Linked DNA regions of Elephas maximus indicus. The protein of the gene in region 4 purifies or fractionates together with the protein of the main gene of each other region. This does not show direct contact. Links are inferred from orthologs where the notes say so. Each region holds a gene or a part of one and is shown on either strand. Other genes may lie near its edges.

Region 1 (7,218 bases), on a different chromosome or scaffold from region 4:
AGACTGAGTCCAGCACAATTAGATGGTGCCCAGCTACCACTGACTGCTTTGACAGGGATCACAATAGAGGGTCCGGGACAGAGCTGGAGAAAAATGTAGAACAAAATTCTAATGCACACACACAAAAGATCAGACTTACTGGTATGACAGAGACTGCAGAAACCCCGAGAGTACGGCCCTTGTACACCCTGTTAGCTCAATAATGAAGTCCCTCCTGAGGTTCGCCCTTCAGCCAAAGATTGTAGACAGGCCCACAAAACAAAACGAGACTAAATGGGCACATCAGCCCAGGAGCAAGGATGAGAAGGCAAGAAGGGACAGGAAAGCTGGTGATAGGGAAGCCAAAGTCAAGAAGGGGAGAGTATTGACATGTCACGGGGTTGGCAACCAACGTTACAAAACAGTATGTGTACTAATTGTTTAATGAGAAGCTAGTTTGTTCTGTAAATCTTCATCTAAAGTACAATGAAAAAATTACAGCCTGGAAAATCCTACCAGGCAGTTCTACTCCGTCTCGTGGGGCTACTCCAAGGCACCTAACAACAAGAATATTGGGGAAACTACAGCTGAGTCAGATGGGTCTTAAAGAATACTGGCAAGGTCTAGAAGAACGCTTCCCATTACAAAAGGCTTTGTGCAGCGACTAGGAACAGAGAATGACTGAAGTCAGGCCCAGAGGAGATGTCAACAGAGAAACAAACAAACAAAAAACCAAGCCCGTTGCCTCCGGTTGATTCCGACTCACAGCGACCCGACAGAGAGAGAATAAATAGGGTGAGGTCAAACCACCTTAGTTTGGTTGGAGAGAAAGGCTAGATTGCTTCCAAGAGGGAAAGCCCGGGATGGATTTCCCAGCAGCGCGACCCTGGAGCCAGAGTCGGTATATAGTTGGAGAAGATCGAGGATACAAAAAAACAAAAAACAAACCCGTTTCCGTCCAGTCCATTTCGACTCATAACGACCCTATGTGACAGAGCTGACGAATTTCCAAAGGAGAAGAGAAAACCCGGGGCAGCATTCCTATTGGACTCTAGAATGGAATCGTAGAGAAATTGGCTCCTGGGTGTGCCCTGGTGGTGTAAAAGTGGTTAAGCGCTGGGCTCCTAACAGAAAGGTCATCGGTTCAAACCCACCAGCCGCTCCGCGGGATAAAGATGTGGCAGTCGGGTTCAGTCAAGGTCACAGCCTTGGAAACCCTTTGGGGCAGGTCTACTCTGTCTGATAGGGTCGGCAAGAGCCGGAACTGACTGAACGGCGGTGGGTTGGGTTTGGTTTTGCTGCAGTGGCGCCTGCGCACCGGGCCGCCTGGGTTTATCCGGGGAGAGACCGTTGGCAGAAACTGGCGCAAGCGGGGCTGTGACAGCAGCGGCATTCCGGGCGGGCGGGGCGGGGAACGCCTGGGCCCGACACGCATGCGCACTACGGGGCGCGGCCGCGGCGCACCTGCGCACGGAGAAGCCGCGGGAGGGCGGGGCCTGTAGCGTTCTCGGCGCTCGGGGGATTGTGGGATAGTGGTGGAGAGCGGCTGGGCGTCGGAGTAGCCGGAGTGCGGACGCCCCGGACCTCCGCTGGTTTGGGGAAAGGAGGGTTGAGGAAGTGGGCCTCGGCTTCCGTCGGTGGCCGCTCCGCACTGCGTTCGGGCCACAGAGGAGGACATCTTCCCCGCCTGCCCTCTGCTTTTCCACGGGGTGCAGGGCTGAGGAAACCGGGGCGACGTCCCGTTCCCTCGCTCAGACTTCTCAGCCCAGCTCGCTGCCCGCGGCTTCAGTCGTCGAACCCCGGAGGTGCCTGCGCGGGTCCCGTGACCTCCCCACCCAACGAACCCCGCGCTTACCCCCGAACTCAGCGGAGCTAGGCACGCGGGGCCCCCCATTGATCAGAGGGCGCGTGCGCGCCGCGCAAACCCCCGACTGAAGCGCCTGCGCACCGAGCGCCCCGCGAGACCACTGCGTCGCCCCCCGCCCCCACTTACCGGGTCCCTGAGCAGGGGCCGGAGCCGCCTGCAGCGGGGCGGGGGGGGCGCCCCGATGAGCCCCGAGTGCGAGGAGCCGCCGCCCCCCCGAGCAGGTGAGCCGGCCGGATCCCGGGACCCTTCCCCGGAGTCCAGGCCTCCCGAGTCTCCGCTCCCCCCGCCCCGGGCCCTCTAGAGCCTTACCAAAGTACCCCTCGGGGCTCCCCAGTCTCTTCCCTGTCCGGGCCACCCCCCATCTTTCTCCTCGGGCCTCTTCCGTTCCTTCTTTGGGCTTCCCCCTAGTCTGTGTCACCTCAGCGTCCACCGTCTCGCCTAAAGTCTCCATTTCTTTTCTTTGGCCTATTCCCAGCCCACCTCCCTCTTCCCACTCGGCCTCCCCAGTCTGTTAGTCTCTTCCCCTGTGGTTCACCGCCAGACCACTATCTTTTTATTCTTTTTCGGATTCATTCCCCTCCTCTTCTTTTCTCACCCACCCACCCACCACCTTCTTTCCCTCTCAGACTCACCCCCCCCATCTTTTCTCCGTCCAGCTCATCCCCAGCTTACCTCTTCCTTCCCCCTAGGTCCCTCCAGTCTCATAGTCCCTCCCTGCTCTGCTTCATTGCCACTCTGTCACCTCCTTCCTCCCTCAGATTCACCTATCCCCCAGTCTCTTCTTCCTCTCTCCCATCCCCCCAGTCTCTTAGTCTCTTTCTTCCTCACCTCATCCCCTTCTTCCCTCTCGTACTCATTCCCCCTGCCCCAGTCACTTGCCCCTCCAACCCACCCCCTTCCACCATACCTACTCCTCTCTGGGACTCACCCCCGCTCCCAGTCTCTTCCCCCTTGAGCCTGCCCCCCTCAGTAGTCTGTCTCCTCAGGCACCCCCATCTCTTACTACTGAGACTCTTCTCTCTTGCCCCCATTCTTTTGCGTCATGCCTTTGCCCTCCTTCCTGCCTTCCTGGATTCACTGGTCCCTGTTCATTCTGATCCTTGGGCTCAGGACATAAAGTAGTGGCGCTTTCCCTTTACCCTGGCTGTGGGTCCCCCGTACCTGGTGGTCTTTGGCTTCTGGTTGTGAGGAGGGATCTGGGAGCCCGCGTTCTCTGGGGCGGGTCCTGTTTTTGAGAGGAGGCCTGTTTCTGAGGGCAGGGTGGGGTACTGGTGCTGGACCCAGAGAGGGGACGCTGCCCTGAAGGAGGGATGGGTCCCTGGGGAGACAAAGGCAGAGCTGGGCAGTCACAATTACTGTGTGTGGTGATAGAGGTAACTCAGGGCACCACTGCGGGAGCCCAGGGAGGGGCAGGGACTGGCAGGACTGGCCAAGCCAGTGGCTTTTCTGTCGAGGAAGGTTGAGTGGGAGTTGACAGATGGAGAGTGGGAAGAAGGGCATTCCGGGTGGAAGGAACAACCAGTGCAGATACGTGAAGGTGGGGGTGTTGGAGGGTCTGAGAGAGGGTATATGTTGGGGGGAGTGGGCAAAACACCTAGAGCTGGAGCTGGTTACCTTGGAGGTGGTGTTCTGGCGAGGGTCCTTCCTGCTCCTTCCTGTACCATGTACACACACACCCCTGTTTGAGGACACAGGCGTTACCATTTACACCAGCCTGGAAAGCAAGATGTTTCTGGAAAGGAAGGTGTGTTGTCAGATGTGGGACTTGGTTAGAGCTTAGCAAAACTGCAGCAGGGTTGCAGCCAACTTGAGGAAGAGGTTCCACCTCGGCTCTCACAAGGTGACAATGGCAGTGACTCAGAATTATCTGGAGAATACAGCGTGTGTGGTTTGTGTACATATCCTGTATGCTAACATGTACGTGTAGAAACGGCCACCACACCCTGGGACACGCACTTACCACGTGGAATGGCAGTTGGTTTTACTTGCTCTATTTAAAATGTTATTTTCTCTGTTCTCTTTCTTTTTTAAAGCTTTTTTCTACTGCAGCATCATTTTGTGTAAATTAAATGAGACCACGTGACTTGTTTTCTGGAGTTTTACACCACATTTGGGAGGCAGTGAAGGCTAATAGTTTAGAGTGAGCTCTTTTGTTGGACAGACCTAGGTTCAAGTTCTGGCTGTCCCACTTGCTAGTGGGGTGACTGTGGACATGCTGATCAGAAGCTCTGTGCCTTCTCTTCCTCATCTGTAGAGTGGGGACAAAGTGCCCTCCTCATGGGGTTGTTCCAGGGGTTAAGCTTGACGTATGTAGAAGCTCATAGCAGAATGCAAGGTAAAGAAGCTGCTCCAGGATCAGTTGCTCCTGTGATTATTATATCTGGCTTGGGATCATCTATTGCAGCATTTCTCAGCTGGGGGTGATTGTGCCCCAGGGTACACTTGGCCACATCTGGAGACATTTTTGATTGTCACAACTAGGGGGAGGGTGCTACTGGCCTCTACCGGGTCAAGGTCAGGGATGTTGCTAAACATCTTAGGATGGACAGGATAGCTCTGCATGACAGAGGATTGTTGTTAGTTGCTGTTCAGTTGACTCCAACTCATGGCGACCCCATGTACAAAAGAATGAAATGTTGCCCAGCCTTATGTCATCTTCATGATCTTGGCATGTTTGAGTCCATAGTTGTGGCCAATGTGTGTTTTGAGTGCCTTCCAACCTAGGGGGCTCATCTTCCAGCTCCGTATTGGACAGGATTCTGTTGTGATCCATAGGGATTTCGTTGGCTACTTTTCAGACATAGATCACCAGGCCTTTCTTCCTAGTCTTAGCCTGAACGCTCCACTGAAACCTGTACATTATGGGTGACCCTGCCGGTATTTGAAATACCAGTGGCGTAGCTTCCAGCATCTTAGCAACATGCAGGCCACTGCACTACGACAAGCTGACAGACAGGTGGTGGGAGGCAAAGAATCAACCAGCCCAAAATGTTAACAGCGCCAAGGTGGGGAAGCCATAATTTCTTGTTTGGGTGTAGTTGGGCTTATCTACTTTTTTGCTACCTGTCAGTGGCTGTGTGGCTCTGTGCATCATCATGTGTTTGGATTTACCTTTCTTTTTTTCGGTAGTTAGCCTCTGTTGGCCCAGCTACTGTTGCTTTCCGTTTGAGGTATATCTACTCCCCCTCGTCCTCCACCCCTCAGATTTTTTTATTCAGGCTCTCTGGTCAAGTGACCTCAGCAGATCATCTTCCCCCGCTGATGTTGATTTTGTTTTTGTCGTTGGTTTGTGACTTAGGAGAACCCTATGTGTTACAGAGTAGAAACTGCCCCGAAGGGTTTCTTGGCTGTAATCTTTATTAAAGCAGATTGCTAGGCCTGTTTCTTACACAGTACCTACTGGGTGGGTTCAAACTGCCAACCCAGCTGTGTGCACCACCCAGGGACCTTCACCCTCCCCCTCTGGACTTTAGCCTTTGCTAATTTAGCAAGTGCCCTGAGCTCTTCTCTGGGCCTGGCCTTGCTCTGGGTCCTGGGGAACCAGCCCCTTCAAGGGCGTACGGATGACTAAACAGGCAAATTGCATCACTGAGCACCCCGGTGCTGGCTGAGGGGTGGCCATAGACACAGGCCCCCAGTGATATCGTGGGGGGCGCGGTGGCTTCCTGGAGGAGGTGCCTGGTCAGAGAACTAGAGGAGAGGCAGAGGGAGCTGCACGTGCAGGGCAGAGAGGAAGGGATGCGTGCGGCTGAATTTTGAGAGCCATGTGGGTTGCAGCAAGAGAGAGGTGAGAGGCTTGGAGGCTCCAGTGGGTTGCCTTCCCCAACTGCCTGGCACATGGCTTGTTGGCTGGGGGGCATAATCCCCTTCCCACCCCAAACCAAGTGTCTTCCTTTGAGCACCAGCTTTGTGGGTCCTTCGCTGGGAAGTGCTGCCTGATGGTAGCCCTGTGAGGGGTTTCATAGATGGGGAGACAGAGGCCAGTGGTGCTCTGCCACCTGTTGTAGATTGAGTTTGGGCAGGTGAGATTTGCCGCACCCAGACCTTCCTGACTTAACTGCCCTGGAGGCTCCTGAGGCTGTAGCACTCTGCCCGCTCTGCTTTTCCAAGGGCTCTCCGTCTTAGAGTATATTCTTTGATCTTGTCTTTTTTCCAAACCTGTGGCCAATGCAAGAGATGAGTCCAGAATGTGAACATTGGAATCCCCCCTACCAGTTCTCAGCAGTTGCTTCTGTCTCCCAATTTCTTCATCCCCTGGGGTCAGGCAGAGCTGGCACCTCCGCTGGGAAGGTGTGATCCAGAAGGCATAGGGGAGGTACCCCCTAACGGGGAATGACCCCCGTCCCCAGGCTTTCTAAAGCCTCAAGGCTCCCAGCCCCAGCCTGGTCTCAGCTTGTCATTCTGTGTAACCTTGGCCAGGTCCTTTTGCTCCTCTGGCCTCAGTGACCCCTTTTCATTAGTGGCTGTCCCCGATGCCTACCTTGCCAGGGTGGTGGCAGCCCTATGGGCCCTAACTTGGAAGTTGCTGGGGTCGTTGTTCCATCCCATGGGAAGCCCCTTCCAGTCCTGGCATTGGCATCGGGTGACCTGACCTCCCCTCAGACCCTGGGTGCTGGCTGGGTGAGGGGGAAGTTGGCGGGAGGCTCTCCTGCCATCCTCTGAGCTGCCCTGCTGCCGCCGGGCCCTTTAAGGGGCTGGGCCCAGGCTGCCGTCCGCTGCAAGCAGGTTCTCTTCCCCGCACTTGGACTTGCCCAGCCAGTTTCTAATTAGAGCGGCAGCCCGTGGGCCTGTCATCTCTGCAGTGGAGGCGGATCAGTGGCCTGCGGTGCCCTCTCCTGAGGCCCAAACTGGCCTTCTCTGCCCTCTGATCCCGCTTGCCGAGGCATAGGGCCCTTCAGGTGGCCTGTCCTGGGAGGCCCTCCCAGCGGCCCCTGGGCCCTTCACCCCCACTTCCGGGTGCCTTGGGGCCAGGGCAGGAAAGACGGGTGGTGGGGAAGAATCGGCTGGGTTCCCTGGCAGCCAGAGCTGTGTTTGGACTACAGCAGCCAGCGGGACGGCTCTTTGGGAGCTGTAGCTAGGCCCTGCCTGAGCCTGGGGCAGGGCCTGCAGGCTCCAGAGAAGGAAGGCAGCTGGTGTTGAAGGCCTCAGGAAACAAAGCAGGAGGAGGAACGAGAGGTGATGGTGAGGACCTGGCAGAGGGAGAGTTACAGAGGTAGTTTTCGTTTTTCATGGCCTCCTTTCTCATTTATAAATCCCCCTTCTTCCGTTTACAGCCAGAGTCATGGTTTTCAAACGGTTGCTGAAAACCATTGGTAGTCACTTCCGCTTTCTAGAAGTTGCTGAAAGTTGCAAAGGATGGGGGTGGGGGTGCA
Region 2 (7,159 bases), on a different chromosome or scaffold from region 4:
GCTGATGCTTTGATGATGACGAGTCAACGCTGTGAGTCGCCATCGATTCTGACTTGTGGCGACATCATGTGTGCAGAGCGGCGGGGTTCTGAAGGGTTTCCAAGGCTGTCACCTTCTGGAAGCACACTGCCAGGCCTTACTGCCGAGGCCCCTTTGGGTGGGTTTGAACCTCCAACCTGTTGGTTAATAGTCCAGCACTTAACCGTTCGCACCACCCAGGGACTCCCTGAGTGAGTAAATCGATGTGGGTAAATCAGTGGTGGCTGGGACCTCCCCAGGCCCCCCAGGAGGGCAGGGCAGATGTCAGACGCCAACTGAGCTGTCCCTCCTGCCCCCTGCCCAGCTTCCCTTAGGTGCCCTAGGGTTCCCTGGAGCCCCTCTTGTGCTCCCTGGACCAGGCCCTCTGGCCTGGACTCCTGTGCCACCCCCTGTTACTCTTGCTCCAACCTGACCTTCCTGAAGTATGGGCAGCCCTGAACAGGTCCCTCTCCTGCTCTGAAGCTTTCTCTGGCTTCCCGTCTGAGCATAAACCCCAAATTTCCTCCCCTGTCCTCCAAGGACTCCCTGGCTGGTTCCCGACCTGATTCCTATTCTTATTCTCATCCCCAACCCCTCTCCCAGCCCCAACCCCGCTGCCATCCCCAGCCCTGTCCTCCAAAAAAGTGCATTTCCCACACTGCTCCACCCCGCCCCGGGTTATCTGTGACACACCGTCCCTAGCCCTCCCCTGCACTGAGCACACCTTCTGAATCTGTTTCCTTCTTGACTGTGTCCCTCACTAGCCTCAGTGAGCAGCAGAGTCAGTGTGAGCAACATCTGCCCTTGGTTTCTGCCTCCCTAGAGGCCCAGCACCCTCAGGGCTTGGGCACAGGCTGGTTGATGTTACCACCTGCACTTTACACATAAAAACCATAAAGTCAGAGAAGTTAGATCACCCAGCCACTTGGGTAGCACTTGGTGCCCAAATGCTTCCTAAAAAAACCAAACCAGTTGCTGTCCATTCAATTCTGACTCCTGGTGACCCCGAGTGTTGCACGGTAGAAATGCACTCCACAGGGTTTTCAAGTCTGTGACCTTTCGGAAGCAGATTGTCAGGTCTTTATTCTGAGGTGCCTCTGGGTACGTTCAAACAGCGAACCTTCCTGTCAGTAGCCCAGTGATTAACCATTTGTACCACACAAAAAACTAAACCAAACCCACTGCTGTTGAGTCGATTCTCACTCATAGAGACCCTAAAGGACACGGAGAACTGCCCATAGGGTTTCCAAGGCTGTAAATCGTTATGGAAGTGAACTGCCACATCATTCTCCTGCAGAGCTGCTGGTGGGTTCGAATTGCCAACTTTTAGGTTAACAGCTGAGCGCTTTAGCCACTGCATCACCAGGGCTCCTTTTGTACTACCCAAGCCAAGCCCGTTGCCGTTGAGTCAATTCCAACTCATAGTGACCCAGTAGGGCAGACTATAACTGTTCCACGTGGTTTCCAAGGAGAAGCTGGTGGGTTCAAACTGCTGACCTTTTGGTTGGCAGCTAAGCTTTTAACTACTACATCACCAGGGCTCCTTTGCACCATCCAAACAAACAAGAAAAACCCAAACCTGCCACCAGACTGAGTCCAGCACAACTAGATGGCGCCTGGCTACCACCACCAACAAGGATCACAATACAGGGTCCTGAACAGACCTGGGTAAAAATGTAGAATAAAATTCTAACTCACAAAGAAAGATCAGACTTACTGGAGAAACCCCAATAGTATGGCCCCCAGACACCCATTTAACTCAGTACTGAAGTCACCCCTGAGGTTCACCCTTCGGCTGAAGATTAGACAGGCCCATACAGTGAAAGGAGACTAAATGAGCACACCAACCCAGGGGCAAGGATGAGAAAGCAGGAGGGGCTTGGAAAGCTGGTAATGGGAAAGCCAAGGCCAAGAAGGGGAGTGTTGACATGTGGGGTCAGCAACCAATGTCAGAACAATATGTGTATTAATTGTTTAATGAAAAACTAACTTGGTCAGTAAACCATCATCTAAAGCACAAAAACAAAACAAAACAAAACAAAAAAAGAAACCCTTTGCGGTGGGGTCGATTTTGACTCCACCAGGTACTCCTAAATGCTCTCCAGGCCTCAGCTAACTAATCTGTAAAACGGGAACAAAGACATTGTTCTGGAGCTGTCGGCAACCAGCTCCTCCTGGAGAGTTTGCCTCCAGCCACAGGGTCTGCCGAAGGGCTGAGCTGGGGAGGTGTGCCCATGTTTGCTCCAGAGACCCGGTTCCCCGGAGCTGACCCAACAAGCCAAGTTGGGCCAGATTCGCCCTGCAGTACCAGACTCTTCAGTGAGCTGGACGAGTTCAGGCCAGCTGGGGCCTGTGTAAGGAGCGAGGGCAGGGGTGCAGACAGATACTGAGCCCAGAGGTAGGTAGGCGATCAGAACCAAAGGAGGTTGGAGGCGGAAGACGCAGCGTGGCACCCACTCGGCTGGTCCTGCCCCCGCCCCCACCTGCAGTGGCCAAGTTCTACCCCTGGAGGCAGCCTGGGGAAGTCTCAGTCACCCAGGTACCCTATTTGACCTGGAAAGACCAAGCTGGCACTACAGGAGCAGCTGCTGGCAGAGGCTGGGGGAGACCTGCCAGCCCCCTGCCTGGAGCCCCCTCTGTGGTTCCAGGCCCGGAGTCCTCTGAGTAATGCGCCTCAGGGGCTGTTGAGTTCCCCCAGGCCTGTGGCACTGTTCTAAGAGGTCTCCGTGACCCTGCCCCATTGCTCACCACTGCCACTCTTCCTGTCCTGTCCCTCTCCTGCCACCCCCAGCTTCCTCTGTACCGTGAGCACTCCAAAGCCCCACCTTGGGGTCTCTGCGCGGGTCTCAATCCCTGCCACGCCCGACCCAAGAGCCCACGGCTTGTCCCTCCTGTCCTGCGGGCTTTGGTGGAAATGTCACCTCCTCGGAAGGGCGTCCAGCACTCTCTGCCACCAGCCGGTCGGCTTCCCTGATGTTTCTCTGGCTGCGGACTGAGTGTCCGAGGCGCGAGGACGTCTGCGCCCCTGTACCCCACAGTCCTTGCACACCCGCAGCGCCCAGTACAGAGCTGCTGCACGAACGGACAGGCCAGCCTGCCTGCTGAGGTCCCCATCCCAAGCACATCCTTGGGGTGCGACCTCGCATCCGACTCCACTCGGCGGACCTTGTTTGTCCTTTTCATCTCCTGTTTCTAACTGTTGCCCTCTTGTTGATTTCCGTGCGACTCTGAAAGGCGCCTCCAGTCCACGCTGGGACAAGGCAGGTTGTTAGGAAGCGCCGACGGCGGGCGCCCGGGACTCGTGGGTGTCTCGGGCCGGTTCACCGGAAGGAAAGGGGGTCCTGTGGCCGGGAAGCCTCTCGGGGAGGAGGAGCCCCGGCGGTTCTGTGAGCCACTCGAGTGTAAATCCTTCTCGACGACAAAAGGGACACGCCACCCCATCAGTCCTGCTTTCCCCCGCGGAGGTGGGCGCCACAGCGAGAGAGGGAAAGCCAGCTTTCCACCTTGACCCGAATCCCGGCACTGCCCCTTGGCGCGGATGAATGGCCAACGGCACCTTTTTACAAAATGCAGCGTGGAGAATGCGGGCATCGATCCCGCTACCTCTCACATGCTAAGCGAGCGCTCTACCACTTGAGCTAATTCCCCAGCTCTGACCCATTTCCGTCGCCGGGAAGCACATAGCGCTCACGTCATCATTCGCGTCCCCGTGGCCGCGTCCCCGCCCCTGGACATCGGGTTCATCCATTGGCTCCCCTGCCGCCCGATGCCCGCGGCCAGGATTGGTTTGGCTCCATTCAGTTTTAAAAGGCATTGTTTCCTCGGATTGGTGGTCAGCAACGTCCGTCAGGCGGAGTCCCTGCTGTTGCTATGGCGCAGGGGGATTCCACCAGGCTTCTCCTGGTTTCTGATTTGTTTCTCAGGCTCCAGGGTTCTAGAGGTTCCGGATCCGTCAAGTCCATGGGAAAAGAATGCGCCCTTCGCACTTGACTGATGCCTTCCACAGGCCAATCGGAGTGGAGGCCGCGGAGCTGAGGACCCACCCAATAGGCCGCAGGGGGCGGGGAAGGCAGGCCAATGCGCGTTGAGCTGGGGGCGGGGCAGAGCGGCGATTGGCGGCGAGGCGGCCGGAGGGAGGGCGGGGAGCTCAAGGCCTGCTTGATACGTCCGCCATTTTGGGCGCTTCGCTGATGGTGTCGGTGAGCGCGTTTCCCGCCTGAGCGCGACTTGCGGCAGGTCGCGGGCACCTCCAGGTAACCGCGGGGGGAGGCGGCGGGCGGGCCGCGGCGCAGGGGGCGCGCGGCGGGGCTCTCGGCCGGGTCTCGGGGCGCGGGCAGGAGCGTCCGGTCCCTCTTCCCCTCCCCCCCGGAATAAGCTCGCCCCGCGGCCCGGAGGCGGCGAGTCCTCCGGCCGTCCTCGGCCGCCCTGTCAGGCCGCGCTCCCCGCCGAGGCCCCGTCGGGCCGGGCCGAGGGCGGGCGGCGAGCCCGGCGGGCAGTTCTGCTCCCGCCCGGACGGGCGCGGCCTGCGCGGCGGCGGCGGCGGCGGGCGGGCGAGGCGGCCAGCGGAGGCGCGCTCTTCTCGGGGCTCCGGCTCCAGGCGTCCCGCCGCCCGGAGCGCCGCCCGGGGTCCCGCGCGGGGCCTGGGGGTCCCCGGAGTCCCGGGCCCGGCCGCCGCTCCCTGGGAACTTGTCGGTCGGGCCGCGGGAGCGGCAGCAGCTCGGGGGCGATGCGCGAAGGCCATTGTTGGACCCCGCTCCCCGGGAGACAAGTTTTGTCGGTTCCAGGTAATTCGCCGCAGAGTCGGGAGAGCCGCGCGGGTCCCTTCGGGGTATTTAGACGCCTTTCCAGGTGATCTCAGACTCCGCTGCTGTGACTCGAACGCAGACCTGGTCGCGAACGCCTCCCGGGCGAGTGCGAGCCTGGGGGATGGTCCTCCTGTGGCTGGGAGTTCCTCCCTCTTAAAGAAGCCCCAAACCAAAAAGACCAGACCCTCTGTCCGACTCCTAGCGACCCTATAGCCCCGGTCCTTGCTAACTCGGAGGTCGTGCCTCCTAGCTGGGTCCTGCTGGCTTTGATTACAGGCAGTGGACAGAACGAGCCTTTAAAGGGTGGACCTCTGCGTCCTGACTCCTTAGCTTCATAACTTCATGGAATTTCCTCGGTTCTGGACGTTTTCTCCGTAGACGGGTCGAGCTGTGGTTTCTGTGTTGGGTTTATGGGAGGGGCACTTTGTGGTTGATTTCTCTCATCCTCGCAGCTCTTGTTAAGGTCGATATTATCCCATTTAATTAATGGGACGGGTACTTTGATTTTGTCCTCAAGGTCAGGTTGGAAATGGACAACAAGTGGGAAAGGGACTCCAGGTTTCCGCCCTTGCAATGTGCCCTCAGTAGCAAGTGTGTGATACGCGGTTAGCCGTGGTGGTTGAGCTTTCTTCACTCTGAAGTTAGACTGTCTGGATTCTAACTCCAGTGCTTGACCACTTTCTTGCTCTGTGACCTTGGGCAAGTTGCTCAACCTCTCTGTTTCCTTTGAAATATGGAAATAATAATAGTGTCTACCTCACAAGGTTGTTGGGCGTAAATGATTTAATACATATGAAGCACTTAGAACTGTGCTTAGCACATAGAATCAGCGCAGTAATTTGTGGCTATTATTAATTTAAATTTGATTTTTAAATATTTAGATACTGTTAGGAAGTCGAAGGAGCCCTGATGGCACAGTGGTTAAGTGCTGGGCTGCGAACTGAAAGGCCAGCAATTCTAATCCGCTAGCCACTCCAAGGGAGAAAAATCTGACAGTCTGCTTCCATAAAGATCACAGCCTTGGAAACCCTGTGGGGCAGTTCTGCTGTCAGACAGGGTCGCTGTGAGTTGTAATCAGTTCCATGGCAGTGATTTAAGAAGTCAGATGAGTGCTTAAGCCCTGGCTCTTGGTAACCATCTTCAGAAAGCTCTGTGTATTAGGAGCTCGTTGGAACTGGGAAAGTGAACTGGAAGTTATTGTCATTTTTTCTGGGAAGGGGTAGTTGGAGATTCAGCTACATACTTTGCCAGAGCAATTGGTGGCCTGTCTCAGGATGTTCTCTGTACCAGGTGGTTAAATACAGAAGAGCCTGTCAAGAGCTTGAGTGGGACTCTGTTCCTCCTGTGCTTCTGGATACCATTTACGAGTGTGACTGGCGAGTCAGTATTCGGCGCCAAATAAGTAACTCAGGCGTTTCTCAGTGGACCCCGTAGGTTGTTAACTGAGATTTGGATTAACACAGCTAAGATGTTGAAAGGTTACTGGGTATTGAGATATACTTCAGTGAGGATAGTTTGGGAAATAATTCTAGTCCTTGATAATGGATACTTGGAAAGCTATTTTGTCCCTGTCTGATCAGGGAGTCTAGGATGTTTTACAAGATGTCAGCCACCCAGTCACACATACCCTTACAGTCTTACTTAACGCCCTGTGTTCTTCTCCAGTGTGGTGCCCAGAGCCCTGCTTGCCTTCCCTGGGTGGTGGTTGCTTGGGATCCAGCTTGCTTGGCTGCGCTGGAGAAGTGTGTTTTCCTGTGCCTAGAAGAGATGAGCAACTTGCTGCTGTATCAGGACTCAAGAACAGGAAAAAGATTGTTTTTGGGTTTAGAAAGCTTTGACTTCTTTTATGTAAAGTATAGCAAAAAACCTTCAAACTCCCTAGTTTCATTTTGCTGATGGAGAATTGGCCATAGCTGGACAGGAAATGAATAGTAATAGAATTAAGACTTGATGTAGGGTGGGGTTTATTGGAGGGCGGGGTTTGTCGGAGGGTGGGGTTTGTTGGAGGCCACATTTTTGCCTGTTTGGCGCAGCAGTAACGTGCTTATTACAAGTAAACCATCTTTTTTATTTATAAAGCAGAATATTTGTCAGGACCAGTATTTGGCTTCTGTGATAAACCTGTATCTTCCACTTTTGTGTTTTCAGTATTTGAGAGGCAGTATTATATATTGGTCTGGAGCCTTGGTGGCACAGTGGTTAAGAGCTCAGGCTGCTAACCAAAAAGGTTGGCAGTTCAAATCCTCCAGCCGTTCCTTGGACTCCCCACTGGGCAGTTCTGCTCTGTCCTAGAGGGTCGCTATGAGTCGGAATCGACTTAACACCAGGAATTTTTT
Region 3 (7,524 bases), on a different chromosome or scaffold from region 4:
CTAAGAATGCATTCTAGTCACCAAGCTCTACACAATGTCTCCATGCCACAATACCAGATGTGACTATCACTTTTTGCAAGGACTCACCCAACAGTCCCGAGGATGCTTTTTTCTTTCCTTTCCATTGTGGATGTCAGGAATGAGGTTTGCTCAGTGAGATGGGTCAGCAGGAGGGAACGTCTTGCTTCCAGTTTGGTAACGTGATGACTGCCACCTATTTTTCACTAGAAGGGGATACCACCAGCTTTCATTACCTATCTGTTCACAGACCCATTAGCAAAGGAAGACAATGATGCTGGTGACACTTTCCTTTTAAGCACTTCACAGTCTATAAAGAATGTTCACATCCATCTCTCTATTTGCCCAGACGTTTAGAGATGAAAAGTGAATTGCCAGATCTCCAAAGAGGACTGTAATAAAATCAAACAACAGGAGCAACAAAAATTTCCAAATGGGGACATTTTTCTCCAAGAAACTCTTAGTATATTAGCTCTCTTAAATTCCTCAGTCTTAAATGTTACCTCATCTGAAGGACCTTCCTTCCCACCTAATACTCAGACCTAACACTCAAATTGTACTCTGTGCAAAACACTTTTAAGTACATATTAACTCTACTAAACCTCAATACTAGTCTCTTCATAAGAGGCTGGTACTATTATCCTCTCTATATTGAAGCTGAGAAAATTAAAGCATAAAGAGGATAAATACATTGCCCAAAATCACACAGTAATTGGTAGAGTCAGGATTTGAAATCAGGCCATTTGGTGTTAGAGTCTGTATACTTTATGTCTACCATACTGCCAACCTAAATTCGGTCTCTTCTACTCCATTTTTCTTACTCGCAATATCCCTTTTTTCCCTTTTTAGCAGTAATCATAATTTGCAATGAAATATTTGCTCATTTATTTGCTTATTATTTGTCTTCTAGAAAACTCTAAACTCCACAAGGGCAGGGACCATAGCTGTCTTATTCACATCATGGGCATTATATAACTATTTGTTTTATGAATGAAGAAATGAATGCTTATGGGCAGCATTCATTCTGCAACAACATTTATTTATTTCTTGTATAAGCTTCATTTCTATTAATCCAAATTAGTGAGTTTTTTTTTTTTTGAACTTTAGATGAAGGTTTATGGAACAAACTAGCTTCTCATTAAACAGTTAGTACACATACTGTTTTATGACATTGGTTAACAACTCCATGACGTCTCAACACTCTCCCTTCTTGACCTTGGGTTCCCTATTACCAGCTTTCCTGTCCTCTCCTGCCTTCTAGTCCTTGCCCCTGGGCTGGTGTGCCTCTTTAGTAATGTTTTGTTTTATGGGCCCATTTAATCTTTGGCTGAAGGATGAACTTCAGGAGCGACTTCACTACTGAGCTAAAAGGTTGTCCGGGGGCCACACTCCTGCGGTTTCTCCTGTCTCCCTCAGATCAGTAAGTCTGGTCGTTTTTTGTGAGTTAGAATTTGTTCTGCATTTTTTCTCCAGCTCTGTCTGGGGCCCTCTATTGTGATCCCTGTCAGAGCAGTCAGTCGTGGTAGATGGGCACCATTAGTTGTACTGGGCTCAGGCTGGTGGAGGCCATGATAGTTGTGGTCCGTTAGTCCTTTGGACTAATCTTTCTCTGTGTCTTTAGTTTTCTTCATTCTCCCTTGCTCCGAAGGGATGAGCCCAGTGGAGTATCTTAGATGGCTGCTCACAGGCTTTTAAGACCCCAGATGTTCCTCACCAAAGTAGAATGCAGAACATTTTCTTTATAAACAACACTTATTTTTAAAATTAATTTTATTTTGAAACAACTTCAAATTTACAGAACAGTTGGAAGAATAATACAAAGAACTTCACGCAGAGACCTCATTAAAGTTTACCTAATTGTACCAAAAATATACTTTAGAGCATGAGGATCCAGTCCAGGGTTACTTTAACAAGAAATACTCACTGAATACTACTGTATTATGTAACAGTCTTCTAACTGGTCTCTCAGCTGTAACCATTGCTCTCTACATTTTCATACAGCAGCCAGAGTGAGCCTTTAAAAAAACAAGTTAGATCATGTTATTCCTTTGCTCAAAGCCCTGCAATAGTTTCCATTCCATTAAAAGTAAAATCAATGCTCTCCTTTCCTCCATTCCTCTGATCTTCTCTCCTACTCTTGCTCCGAGCACACACTTCCTGTTTCCCAAAGACTCTCGATACACTCTTGTCTTAGGGCTTCTGCACTAGCTCTTCCTATGAATTCACCGAAGTAGCTGCATGGCTAACTTCCCATCTCTTTGTTGGCTCTAAAAATACAATACTCTATCTCCCTTACCCTGTTTGTTTCTCCTCTATAGTACTTATCATTTTTTTTATAGTTATTTATTATGTTTATTGTTTATGTTCTGTTTTCCTCTGCTAAAATGTTGAGGGTAGGGATCTTTGTCTATTTTGTTCACTGAATATCCCAAACACCTACAACCCTACTGTTCTTGGTGCTAGGGATTAAAAAAAAAATAAATAAATATATACACACACACACACACACACACACATATATAAGCATGTGCTATGTCATGCATCATATATATATTATATACACACACATATACACATAGCCGTGAACCGTATAATGTCTGTTTGGGCAATGTTCAACCATATATATGCCCGCGGTCCCATAAGGTTATAATAGAGTTCAGAAATCCTGATTGTAGAACAGAACATTGTAGTGAATGCAATGGCTTCCAGTACATAACACATGTATCTCATGTCTCTTGTATACAACGCAATTGCTCTGCTAAGTGTATAATGGTACAGTACATACATAACATACAATATGTCTTGATAGTCATAGTAAACACCTGTTAATGGCTTATGTATGTACTGTACTTCCTATTGTCATTTTAATGTGAAGTTTCCCTACTTAGCAATAAAAACTTTATTATATAACATTGTATGCTTCAACTTGTAGGCAGCAGCATCCGATCTCATGTATCACACATCTCTGGAGTGTTGTACTGTTATCTGTTTAATTTTGTTTCAAAAATATTACCACACAGTGCATCATGGCTCCCAAATGCAACAAAACCAGTGCTAGTAATGGCAGCAGTAAGAGGCAAAGGAGAAGTATTGATTTGGAAGTGAAATAAAAGGTTACTTAACAACAACATTAAGGTGGAAAATCAGTGAATGCTCTTGCTCACGATTTAGCCATGTTGCTCTCAACAATCATGACGATCCTCACAAATAGAAAAAATTCTTCAAGCTGTTAAAGAATCAGTTCCACCGAAAGCTACAAGGCTAAAGAAAACGCAAGAGGGATCTACATCAGATATGGAAAAATTGCTAATGACATGGATTGAGGACCAAACACAAAAGTGAACCCCCCAGCACACTGATGATCACTGCTAAGGTACAAAGTTTGTTCGAGATGCTTAACGAAAAAGCAGGACCAGACTACAATGCTGAGTTTAGTGCTAGCTCTGGGTGGTTCACATGCTTCAGACAATGGTTTTCGCCGCATAGTGTTAAAGTGAATGGTGAGTCTGTGAGTGCTGATACAAAGGCAGCAGAAGAATTTGTTGAAACCTTAGATAAACTAATAGTACAGGGAGGTTATTTGCCCCAGCAAAATTGTATTATGGACAAAACCTCTTTATTCTGGAAGCAAATGCCTGAATGGGCTTTCATCCTTAAGGAAACCAAGTCAGTGCCAGGCTTTAAGGTTTTTAAAAACAGAGTGACAGTATATAAAATGGTGTCTGCATGTCTAAATCATATAATGTCCTATTCCACAGAATGTACGGTGGACATTAAGCGATGAGTGACTCTCTGTATATATCTGTCCCTGCCCTCCTGAGACTCACACTGAAGTATGTTTAAGCCAGCAGACCTATTTTTCAATCTCGGCTCTGGCAGGTATTCCCTGTGCCATTTTGGGAAGGTTCCTTAACCTCTCCTGTTTCCTATGAATCATTATGAGGATTCAGTGGAATAACAGCATCTGTAAAGCATTTAGCATAAGAAATATTTGAATATTTGTTTTCCATTCTTCCAGGAAGGGAAGATTGGGAGCCTGACATCTCTGCCACAGGTTTAGGCAAGGTTTTCACAAGGCCTCGGAAAGGTGCAAACAGGTTACCATGGCTAAGCTTACCCAATTTTTAACTGGAGATGTTCTGGTAAGACAGAGAGGCAAGTACTTAGAATGGTCGGAATGAGAAACCAGGAAATGGATAGGGAAGCTTACTTTGCCGTTTTTCATTGGAAAATCCTTGCCGGGTACCCAGAGGTGAAAGTCTAGAGGGAGAGACGGGAAAGAAAAGAGGAATAGATGGTCACAAATACAAACTACAAACCCCAGCATTCCCCGCGGCAGACAACTACAACCCCGGCCACTTTCGGTCGCCGGGCCGGGGGCTCTAAGGTCCTGCAGCCTGCGTGCAGCCAGAGAGGGCGTGAGCCGTGCCCAGGCAGCATGAGGAATCAGGTCGAGCTTTAACGTTGCTGCGCAGACGCCTCTCTCACGGCCGGACGTGACGTAGAAGAGTTCCGGCTTCGGCCTCTGCCGCTGCCGCCGCTGCTACAGTCGCCGCTGCCGCCGCCGCCTTTGCGGCTTCTTTTTTCTAAAATGGCGCCCCTAGACCTGGACAAGTATGTAGAGATAGCGCGACTGTGCAAGTACCTGCCGGAGAACGACCTGAAGGTGAGTCTGGCCAGGGCGGGAGCCCTGCTTGCGGGGCTCGCCCCTTCCGGCAGTGGGGCTCCCGCCGTCCCGCCCTTCCTCCGCGGTACACTGCCGGGTATCCCGTCCCGTCGCTGTGGACGGCCCGGTGCCGTACAAAGCTGCTCGGTTCGACCTGGCGTCACGCGGAAAGCCCAGGAGCCCAGGTCCCTCGAATGCCGTCCTGGTTCCCTCAGCAGGAATCCCGAGGGAAGTCGCGGCTCCTGCCCCAGAGTCACCCCTTCTGGCACCAGGGCTACCCCAGGACTCCGAGCCCTAACAGCCTTGTTTAGAAGACGGTTCCCCCCGACCTCCACCCCCGGGTTTCCCGGAGTCCGAACCGAGCCCTAGCCGGCAGTGTTCTCGAGATGGGGTCGTCTTTACTAGAGGTGACAGGAGCCCGGGGTGACTGGTGTTTGACGGGAGATACCGCCGGCGTCCCGGAACGCAGTCCTGGTGTGTTTAGGTTACTGAAGAGTGGGAAGGCGATTGGCCAGAGCGGTTTGGTACCGATGTGAGGGAACGTCAAGTTGTCCTCCATTCCAGTTGCTGTTTAGGAGTGTTGGTTTTGTTGTACTAATTCAAATGCGAATTAGGTTTATGAGTATATTACTGAGCTAAGTTAAGAGTTATCCTTAGTTGAGGTAGTAGGACCTCAGTAAATACAAGTGCTTTTCTGTCTTTTAAGTCATTCGCCCACAATCTCCTTTTAACTCAAGATCTCATTTTCTTTGTTTTCTAAAGGAGGTGAGTTGTTCTTGTTAACTGCCCAGTCCTAGTAAGTAAGAGTAAAGGAATGAATGTCAAAGTAGAGGAGTATAAGTCTTTGTTGTACTGGTTTTTAAAAAAGTGTTTCTATGTGCTTGCTAAAATAAAACCAATACTTCGGTGTCTAGAAGTTATTTACCTGTTAGTGCTAATACCTGTTTTATTTGTTCACTAAACTTTGATCTCTTATGTGGTAAGGGGATAGATAAATTGTTGGTCGTTTGAGTTCTTTTTATTCTTTAAGCTATGGGTTTAAAGCAATTTATCTCTGTTTTTGAATTCTTTATCGTAAAGAAGAGATTACTGTCTTTTTCTTCTGTTGTCTCCCTTGGTACAGAAAATTGATATTTAACATAACATCAATCAAACAAGTATGCAAAATGTTTAAGGTCACTTGTGCTGTTGGGAATGTACTTACGAAAACCAAACCCATTGCCGTCTGAGTTGATTCTGACTCATAGCAATCCTATAGGACAGAATACAACTGCCCCATAGGGTTTCCAAAGAGTGGCTGGTGGATTCGAACTGCCTACCTTTTAGTTAGCAGTCAAGCTCTTAACCACTGTGGCCACCAGGGCATGTTAATTATATATGCCATATGATAGAATTGTGGTGTTAGCGAAGAATACTACATATACCACGGACCGCCAAAAGCACGAAGAAATCTGTCTTGGAAGAAGTACAACCAGAATGTGCCTTAGAAGCAAGGATGACAAGACTATGTCTCACATACTTTGGACATGTTATCAGGAGGGATCAGTCCCTGGAGAAGGACATCACACTTGGTAAAACAGAGGGTCAGCAAAAAAGAGGAAGACCCTCAATGAGATGGAGTGACAGTGGCTGCAACAAGGGACTTAAGCATAACAACGATTGTGAGGATGGCGCAGGACCAGGCAGTGTTGCACGACCAGTCAGTGTTTTGTTCTGTTGTGCATAGGGTCACTATGAGTCAAAACCAGCTCGATGGCAACAACAACAACATGATAGAGGAGTCATTCTTGTGTATTTTTTCCCTTTTTAATAGGACTGTTTAATTTAAATGAGAACAAAGCAGATATTAGTAGTGTAGCTTTCATGCTAATCAGAGTCCTTCAGATATTAGCTTTGTGACTTCTTTCTGCTATATGCTTTTTTGGGAAACAAGAATATAACCAACACTGGGACCCAATTTATGGGAAACTAAAAAAAAAAAATTTTTTTTTTTTAACCATACCTCTTTTGGTAGTATTGTTAATCCCATAGCTGAAGTTGATCGTTGCATATCAATGAATTGATGTGAAATTTTGTTTTCTTTTTATTAATCATACTGGAACTGTTTTAAACTTTGTGTCTATAAGAAGTGTTGTCTTTTATTAGGAAAATGTGTCTTAATATTGACTTGAAATTGGATACTAAAATGATTTGAAAAATAATCAGTTGGATTTTCTTTAGGCCTCTTAGTTTGATAAACATTAGCTTTTCTTCTCACTTAGGAAATAGTAAGCCATTTCATTTTCTTTAAAAAAAAAATTGACAGCAACGAATTTCATTTTTTTTTTTTTTTTTTTGGTTTGGTACTTAGCTTGCATGTTTATAAATAAACTTTTTTTTTTTTTAATTTTGAATCTTCTGAGCAACTACTGAGGAAAAAGAACCTTAATTTTTCCATATAAGTAGAGGATTTCCATCTTTGTCTTGGTGTATTTAAGGAAATTTGATTTTATTTTTGTTTCTTGGCATGAAGTGCAAACCAAAATTAGTCTGACTAAGAAAGTATTTCAGGAGCACCTTTTCTTAGGCTTCAAAGCCAAGATACAAGATTCTGTCAGAGGAGGGAAAGAAGTTATGAGGGCCACTTAATGATCTTAATGGAAAAGATTTGTTCTAGTAAAAAAGAAAATAATGGAAATTTACCTGTATTAATTTTAGATTGACTAGAAGTTGGAGGTACTAATGAAATAGTAAACGCATAGCATGTTCTAGATCTGAGATTTCTCTTTAGCTAAATTGGAAGTGGTTATATCACTAGTACTGGATCAAACCTACAAAGAGATCCTGTGATTCTCAGCCAA
Region 4 (6,825 bases):
GAGTATTTATGATAAATGTTTTCTTCTCCCTATGCTGATTTTTCTTTGCTTAGACATGATAATACAGTGAACTGCTTTCCAAGCCATTCCTAGTCAGTCATTGTTCTTGTCACAATTTGTTGCAACTAGTGTCTCTAACCCATTTTATTTATTGAAAGTTTAAGTAATTATACCTACTTGAGTATGGATGGTAGAAGAACAGGGCTAGAAGGATATATGCCCACTGATTGACAATTAAAGAATAAGATTATCAGGTAGTGTTAGTTTCAGCTCCAAATATCAGAGACTCAAAATCACAGTGACTTATTTAAAAAGGAAAAAGTTATTTGTATCTGAGAAAGAAATGCTTGTGTAACAAAATAGGAACATGAGAATAGTCTTTCACATGCGAAATGCAGGGTGGAGAGGAGTGTGCTGTCACATTGTAGGGAGAGCAACTAGGGTCACATAACAATGTGTGTATAAGTTTTTATATGAGAAACTGACTTGAATTGTAAACTTTCACTTAAAGCACAATTAAAAAAAAAAAAAACAGTCTTTCAGGGCCTTAAGTTTTTCATCAGTAAAATGAAGGTTTAAGCCAGCTTTACCAATATGTGAGTCTATGAACAGTAAGAATAAGCTCTATTAATAGGATACATTTTAGTATAAAGAAAAGATTATGACATTGTCAGGGTTGAATTTGTTGGCTTATTGAAAACTTAATCTAACGAATATGACTTTAAAAGTAACCACCTAAAGAAAAACCACATCCCCTTGCTATTTCCCTAACTGGGGGGGGAAAAAAAAAGTTGAACTTACGGTTTACACAATCTTTGTCAGTAATTTTTCATCAGAAGTACTTTCTCCATTCCTAATTTCTTAATTACTTATGTACCTCTCTCCTTTTCCTTTAAGATGTGAGTTAGGGGCCTTTCTTAATCAGTAGAAGTTAACAAGATATAAAACAGTGCTGTACGGTGCTACTAACTTAGATAATTTAAAAAATGCAGTATTTATCTCTTAATTTTTTTTTTTTTATCTTTGATTATATAATATATGGTAGACCTTTCTCTTTCCCTAGACTGTGAAATACAATGAATGTGGAAGAATGTAAAGAACCTGTGGTCCTATTTCTTAAGTTTACTGGTCCCTCCATCCTACCCCCAGTAACACTTGTAAACTTCTGTCTGGTTTCTGAGGTTCTGATTAGCCTCACAGTTACTAAGAGGATGGGTGCCTGCCTGTGTGTGGTTAGCCCTATATCTGCTCATTGATTTCACAAGTGACATCATTCAACTACTCTGAATATCTGTAATAACAAGATTATCTTATTTAAACTTCACAGCAACACCATGAAGTAGGTTCTGTTGATGTATGTCGTTTAATAGATTTTGGAATGAGACACAGGTTAAACTTGCTCAAGGTCACACAGTGGGAATCTGGATTGGAATCCAGGCAGTTTGATTAAAAAAAGCTTTAATTATCAATCACTTTGCTGTTACTCTGTTTCTCCTCAGTAAAATCCCTGGGGATTATTATTCTAATTTTATAAGTGTGAGGAAACTGAGGCTCAGGAAATTTAAATAGTTTGCCCAGGGACACAGCTAGTAAATGATGGAGTCAGAATTTGAACTGTAGATAGGCTGACTCCTGAGGCCTTATTTTTAACTATATCACTGTTTTATATTAGCTACTAAATTTAAGTTGCTCACTTAATAGAGATATAAAATTCACTTTATTACTCATTAATGCTTATGTTTTCTCATTAAAGCATATTGTCTTTATAATTCTGCCACTCTATTCTAAAGTCTTGCAACATAGTAGAATTTATTTCAATGAAATTATTTCCAGGTGGAAGAAAGCAGAAGGAAACAATATGTATATAACACAGCCTCTGCCTTCAAGGAGCTTGCTTTGTGGTTGGGAAAGACCTAAATATGGAAGTTGGCTTAGAACAAGAAACAGGATATACCTGCTTCAGTCTTAAGTAGGTGAATTTACACGCTAGCTACTTTGGAACAAGTTAAAATTGCCTATTTAAAAAGAAAAATATCCTGAAGATAGAATATAGAGTATGGTTACTATAACGGTTTCGTTTTCAGATATTAAGATGTTATTTTTGATTCACCTTGTGGAGCTGGTTGATAGCATTTTTGTGTATCAGGATATTTGCAGGCCTTTAATGTGGCTTAAAACTATTTTACATTTTAAGATACAACTCTCTGAATTGTTAACATGTTTTAGTACTTTGGTTCAGATATGTAAGGTTTATAGGCTCTTTCACAGATTGATATTCTATGGCTTTTAACGGTTTTTATTAAATTTCTGGCATTCTTAGATGCTGTTTTGTGTGTGGGTATGTGCGTGTATGGTTTTGATAAGTAAATTTGCTTAACATGTGAGTGAAGACTAGCCCTGAAACACCCATTTAAAAATAACTTTTTGGAATATTATTGCAGTAGATAGTATATTACTTTATTACCTAAACTTTTCACGACCATCACAGAGACCGCCTTTTTAGCTAGCAAAAATCTTGAGAGAGTGTGTGTGTGTATACACACACGATGAAAGCAGAATAAAAAAACGTGTTTGGAGTTAGCACAACTTTACCAATTTGCATGACTTTGAATAAAATACCTAATTTCTGAGTCTGGTTTTTCCTCTATAATATGGAAATGTATCAAGCTTATGGAGTGTATTAAGTGGAAATGTACAGCACCTAAACCCAGTGCCATCGAGTCTGCTCCGACTCATAGGGACCCTATAGGACAGAGTAGACCTGCCCCATAGAGTTTCCAAGGAGCGCCTGGCAGATTCGAACTGCCAACCCTTTGGTTTAGCAACCGTAGCACTTAACCACTACACAGCACCTGACATGTCATAAATGTCTAAAAAAAGCTATGTTTATTAATAAAAGTATATGTTGATGAAAGAAAAAACAGATTTAAAGGGGACGGTGGTATTTTCTTTGTAATTTTTCTGTTGGCAAATATCCTCATTAGGGACACTTGTAGCTTTGAGGAAATTCTTTATAGGGGAGAGAGATTCTTTGTTTTCTTTGTGTTTATCTTATGCCCTTTTGGCATACAGATTGTTTGGTACCAAGGACTTTACACAGTTGTTTTGTGCAGCTATTTAACAGATTCTTAAGGCTTTATTCCATTTTCCAGATGGAAAGGTAGGTTTAGTTAATTTCTTCAGTTAAAATGCAAATGATTTATAGGATATTAGAGTTAGAATTTCTACATTGTGAAATTTTTAATTTTTCACTCTAAAAATACGAATTAATGATTGAGTACATTCAACTAATTAAAGTTGTTAGAAAAATCATAAATTTTTTTGTTTAAACTTTGTGTTTTTAGAAATAACATACATCTGCTAGGTTAAAAATGGTCTCAGTTAAAAAAAAAAAAAAGAATAAAACCTTTACTAGGTTCCTGGTTTTTGTATTCTGATAAAACGTTTGTCTTCATTTCTAAATCTTTTTCGTGGGTTCACCGCAGACATGTTCTTACTGCAGCTGTCATTACAGGGTTAAACATTTGCTGTATTGTAACATACGAAAGCGGTTAAGCTGTTTGGAATTGTTTACTTGCTAAAACCAGTGTTAGTCAGCAGAGGCAGTACACCAGATTTCCTTGTGGCTTTTAGTGGAAAATGTTAAAAGCGCACTCGTTTTTCAGTTATAGAATTTTTCGGTTTGATCTGGATTAGTCACAGAACTGGCATGAGTTGTCTAATTGTGAAGGCTGTCCAAATGCACTATTTTTTTCTCCTGCTAGAGGAAGTTACATCCTGAGCAGTAGCTCAGATCTCTGGTAAGTGTAACATGTGAGCATTACTAGGCGTTTCATCCTGCGGGTCTGCAGTCTTTGCTCTTCCGACTGTTGCCCAGTTGGAATGCTTCTGTGGAGCCGATCCTGAGGTTGTAGAGAAATTTTTGAAGGACCTACTATTTGGGGTGTCCGTGGTTTTTTGCAAGATCATCTGAGAAGCAGGAAAGCTTCTGAAGTCTACTGAAAAGGATAACTGAAGTGGTTTTCACAGTGGAAGGAAAAACTCTGTTGGCACAGAGGCAGATGATTGAATAAAGTAGTTGGTTCAAAGAAGATGCACAGTCTGCTGTTTTTTTCCTCTGAATGAAGACTATTTAATGGGAGCTGTATTCGTGTGGAGATCAAAGGAAACACTGGAGTGATAAACTACTGCCTTTTTTTTTTTTCCTTTTTCTTTTTCTCCTCTTTCTTTTTTAAGAAAAAGCCTGAAGCCGTAATTGGAGCTCACATGCCTTCTAATTCCTTTGCAGACTGCTTGTTCTATTAGGATTCTCCTCTAACACCGTTTCTGCCTGGTGCCCTTTTGCTGGAGCAGCTACAGACCAACTGCCTGATGTAGAAGGAATGAATGATCTGCCTCGCTTATGCTATTGATGGAAATAAAGCTATCCATGTTTCTTCTATTATTTGGGAAGTCTGGATTAATCAAGCTGTATTCTAGTACCAAGAGTCCTATTGTCCCCTGTGGGCTGACTCATCGTATGTAAATGTACTGCAGCTTTGCTATTAATGCAGAGTGGTGTTTTTCCCCCCTTTTCTTTCTTCCAAAACACAGAAAGAATTGTCAACCTCTAAGCATCATTTTCGGAATTTGTGCTGAGCTCTAGATACTTTTTTTTTTTTCCGGGTAGTATCTGCATTAAACCAGTGAAGCTGAAGAAATGAAGACAAATTAGAAGTGGAAACAGAATAGTGAGATTTTTTTTTCCAATTATAAGAAAGCCAGCTACTGGTAACTATATGACCTTGCAGGCAAGAGTGGGTATAGCTGTGATCATCTCTGTCTCAGCGGTTGTTTCTCATTTCATTTCTACATCGTGTGGTGTTGTATCACCAAAAACAGTGACCTTTTTGTGCAAGTAAATTTAGAGCAATAGGACTATTTTGGCAGGGGAAAAGTATTTTTAAGTGAGCTTGTACTGGACTCAGTTTTAGTTATTGACATGTTAATGTGAAATTTCTTTTTAGGTATTGCAGTAACCCAGCAGAAAATAATAAAATTTTGTTGTTTTTAGAAAGTTACAAGCTTGTGGTCATAATTTTAAACTTCAGTTTTTCCAGTAGTACCTAGTAACTTAAAAAAAAAAAAAAAACAGCTGTGCTGTTCGCAGAGAATGTTTGTAAGTGTTGTACAGAAGAGGAGGAAAAACTACTTGTGCTCTTCCAACTGTGACTTTTACCATATAGCTTTGAATTTAGTATTTTAAAAGAGCGAATGAGTCGGGTGTGTATTGTTGTTTTGGAGGAGGTAGAAGATGAATCTCCTGCATTCATTTCTAAATTGCCACAGGAAAATAAATCCCTACATTCTCTACCTTCTGGAAATGTATTGGTAAGATATGAGAGTTTATATGTTTACCGTATGCTACTGAACTATTAGGGGGAATTTTATTTTTTAAGAGTAGACATAAGTTAGTTTCCAATAGTTTAATTAAAAATCTGAATTAAAGCACTATAGATGCATAACTGTGATGCAGTCTTGCTTGTGTGTAAAATACACACGTTTCTCATTTTTAATTTTTTAAATGCTTAGATAACATTTCAGACTTTACTGTCTTAAAAAGATTTTTGAAAAATAGTAGTTATGGCAACCACGTTTCTGTTTTCATCATGTGGTTTCAGAAACCCATGTAACAAGAAACAGGAACTCTGCATGTTTTAGGAAAGCTTGACAACTACCAGCAACACTGAGGCATGGCCTTTTCTGTAATGGATTTTATGTATTTACATGCAAGACTTTATATGAAAAAGAACCAAACTTCATCTTTAACTTTATTTTTAATGCTTTGTTAATGGCTTCTTTCACTAGTATAATATGGAATCAGAGAGACTGTGTTGTAGAATAGGAAATTGTTATATTTAGACCATGCACGTGTTTGTCTCTTCACGCCATTCAGGTATATGTATTTTTTTTGTTTTTTCTATAACAGGTATTTTCATCAACTGCCAAATTTGCCTTCTTGGGATCTGTATGTTTATACATATAGTGCTAACCCATACAAGTTATTTTGATGCCCTGAATAAGCCTTTCTTCACGGGCTTTAGCATGGGCTGCGAGCTGCTTGTTTAAGTTGTATCCCACAAGTAGATACTGGGATGTCATATTAGCGTTTGGAAGACTTTATGTATAAATAAAAGGCTTCAACTTAAAAGGAAGAAAATAAAATCTAATTGTGTTTGTTATACCACCTTATTTAGGTCAAGCTGAGGTGATGTATTTTTTTTTTGCTATTGCTGGGTGCCATCAAGTCGATTCCAACTCCTAGCGACCATATAGGACAGAGTAGAGCTGCGCCATAGGGTTTCCCAGGTTGTAATCTTTATGGGAGCAGATCCCTGGATCTTTCCTCCCTGAGAACAGCTGGTGAGTTTGAACCACTGGTCTTTAGGTTAGCCACTAAGCACTTTACCCATTGCTCTCCCAGGGCACCTGTTTTCTTTCTCTAAAGGCCGTTTTTTCCAAGAAGGGATCTTGTGCTTTAATATGATTTGGCTTCAGAAGACTTCTGGTTTATCTCAAAAGGGAAGACAATTTTTAGATTTAGGATACCATTTGGTAAGTGTGACTTAATGTTTTTATTACTCTCTTATATTTCAGCCATCACTGGTGCAAGCTATATTTAATGGAGATCCTGATGAAGTTCAAGCGCTAATATTTAAGAAAGAAGATGTTAACTTTCAGGTAAAACAATTAATTCACTGATTCTAACCTTTAAAATGACTTTTTAAAGCTCGTTCTCAGACTTGTGACTTTTATACAGATATAACAGTTACGTAACCGTCGTTT

The links.
Region 1: the proteins of ANKRD28 (region 4) and PPP6R1 purify together in Homo sapiens (co-immunoprecipitation; 4 studies listed by BioGRID and IntAct, with this or other methods). This does not show direct contact. The link is inferred for Elephas maximus indicus from reciprocal best matches to the Homo sapiens genes ANKRD28 and PPP6R1.
Region 2: the proteins of ANKRD28 (region 4) and PPP6R3 purify together in Homo sapiens (co-immunoprecipitation; 3 studies listed by BioGRID and IntAct, with this or other methods). This does not show direct contact. The link is inferred for Elephas maximus indicus from reciprocal best matches to the Homo sapiens genes ANKRD28 and PPP6R3.
Region 3: the proteins of ANKRD28 (region 4) and PPP6C purify together in Homo sapiens (affinity purification with mass spectrometry; 9 studies listed by BioGRID and IntAct, with this or other methods). This does not show direct contact. The link is inferred for Elephas maximus indicus from reciprocal best matches to the Homo sapiens genes ANKRD28 and PPP6C.

The regions. Positions count from the first base shown.
Region 1 is NC_064829.1:91,749,374-91,756,591, forward strand, and holds the start of PPP6R1 (serine/threonine-protein phosphatase 6 regulatory subunit 1), read left to right. Parts: upstream 1-4,207; 5' UTR 4,208-7,024; coding exon 7,025-7,027; exon of another isoform or gene 7,028-7,058; intron 7,059-7,218. UniProt on the Homo sapiens protein: Regulatory subunit of protein phosphatase 6 (PP6). May function as a scaffolding PP6 subunit. Involved in the PP6-mediated dephosphorylation of NFKBIE opposing its degradation in response to TNF-alpha.
Region 2 is NC_064825.1:131,203,584-131,210,742, forward strand, and holds the start of PPP6R3 (serine/threonine-protein phosphatase 6 regulatory subunit 3), read left to right. Parts: upstream 1-4,152; 5' UTR 4,153-4,271; intron 4,272-7,159.
Region 3 is NC_064827.1:76,190,054-76,197,577, reverse strand, and holds the start of PPP6C (serine/threonine-protein phosphatase 6 catalytic subunit), read left to right. Parts: upstream 1-4,512; 5' UTR 4,513-4,609; coding exon 4,610-4,684; intron 4,685-7,524.
Region 4 is NC_064845.1:36,545,109-36,551,933, reverse strand, and holds the start of ANKRD28 (serine/threonine-protein phosphatase 6 regulatory ankyrin repeat subunit A), read left to right. Parts: upstream 1-3,807; 5' UTR 3,808-5,253; coding exon 5,254-5,370; intron 5,371-6,636; coding exon 6,637-6,720; intron 6,721-6,825. UniProt on the Homo sapiens protein: Regulatory subunit of protein phosphatase 6 (PP6) that may be involved in the recognition of phosphoprotein substrates. Involved in the PP6-mediated dephosphorylation of NFKBIE opposing its degradation in response to TNF-alpha.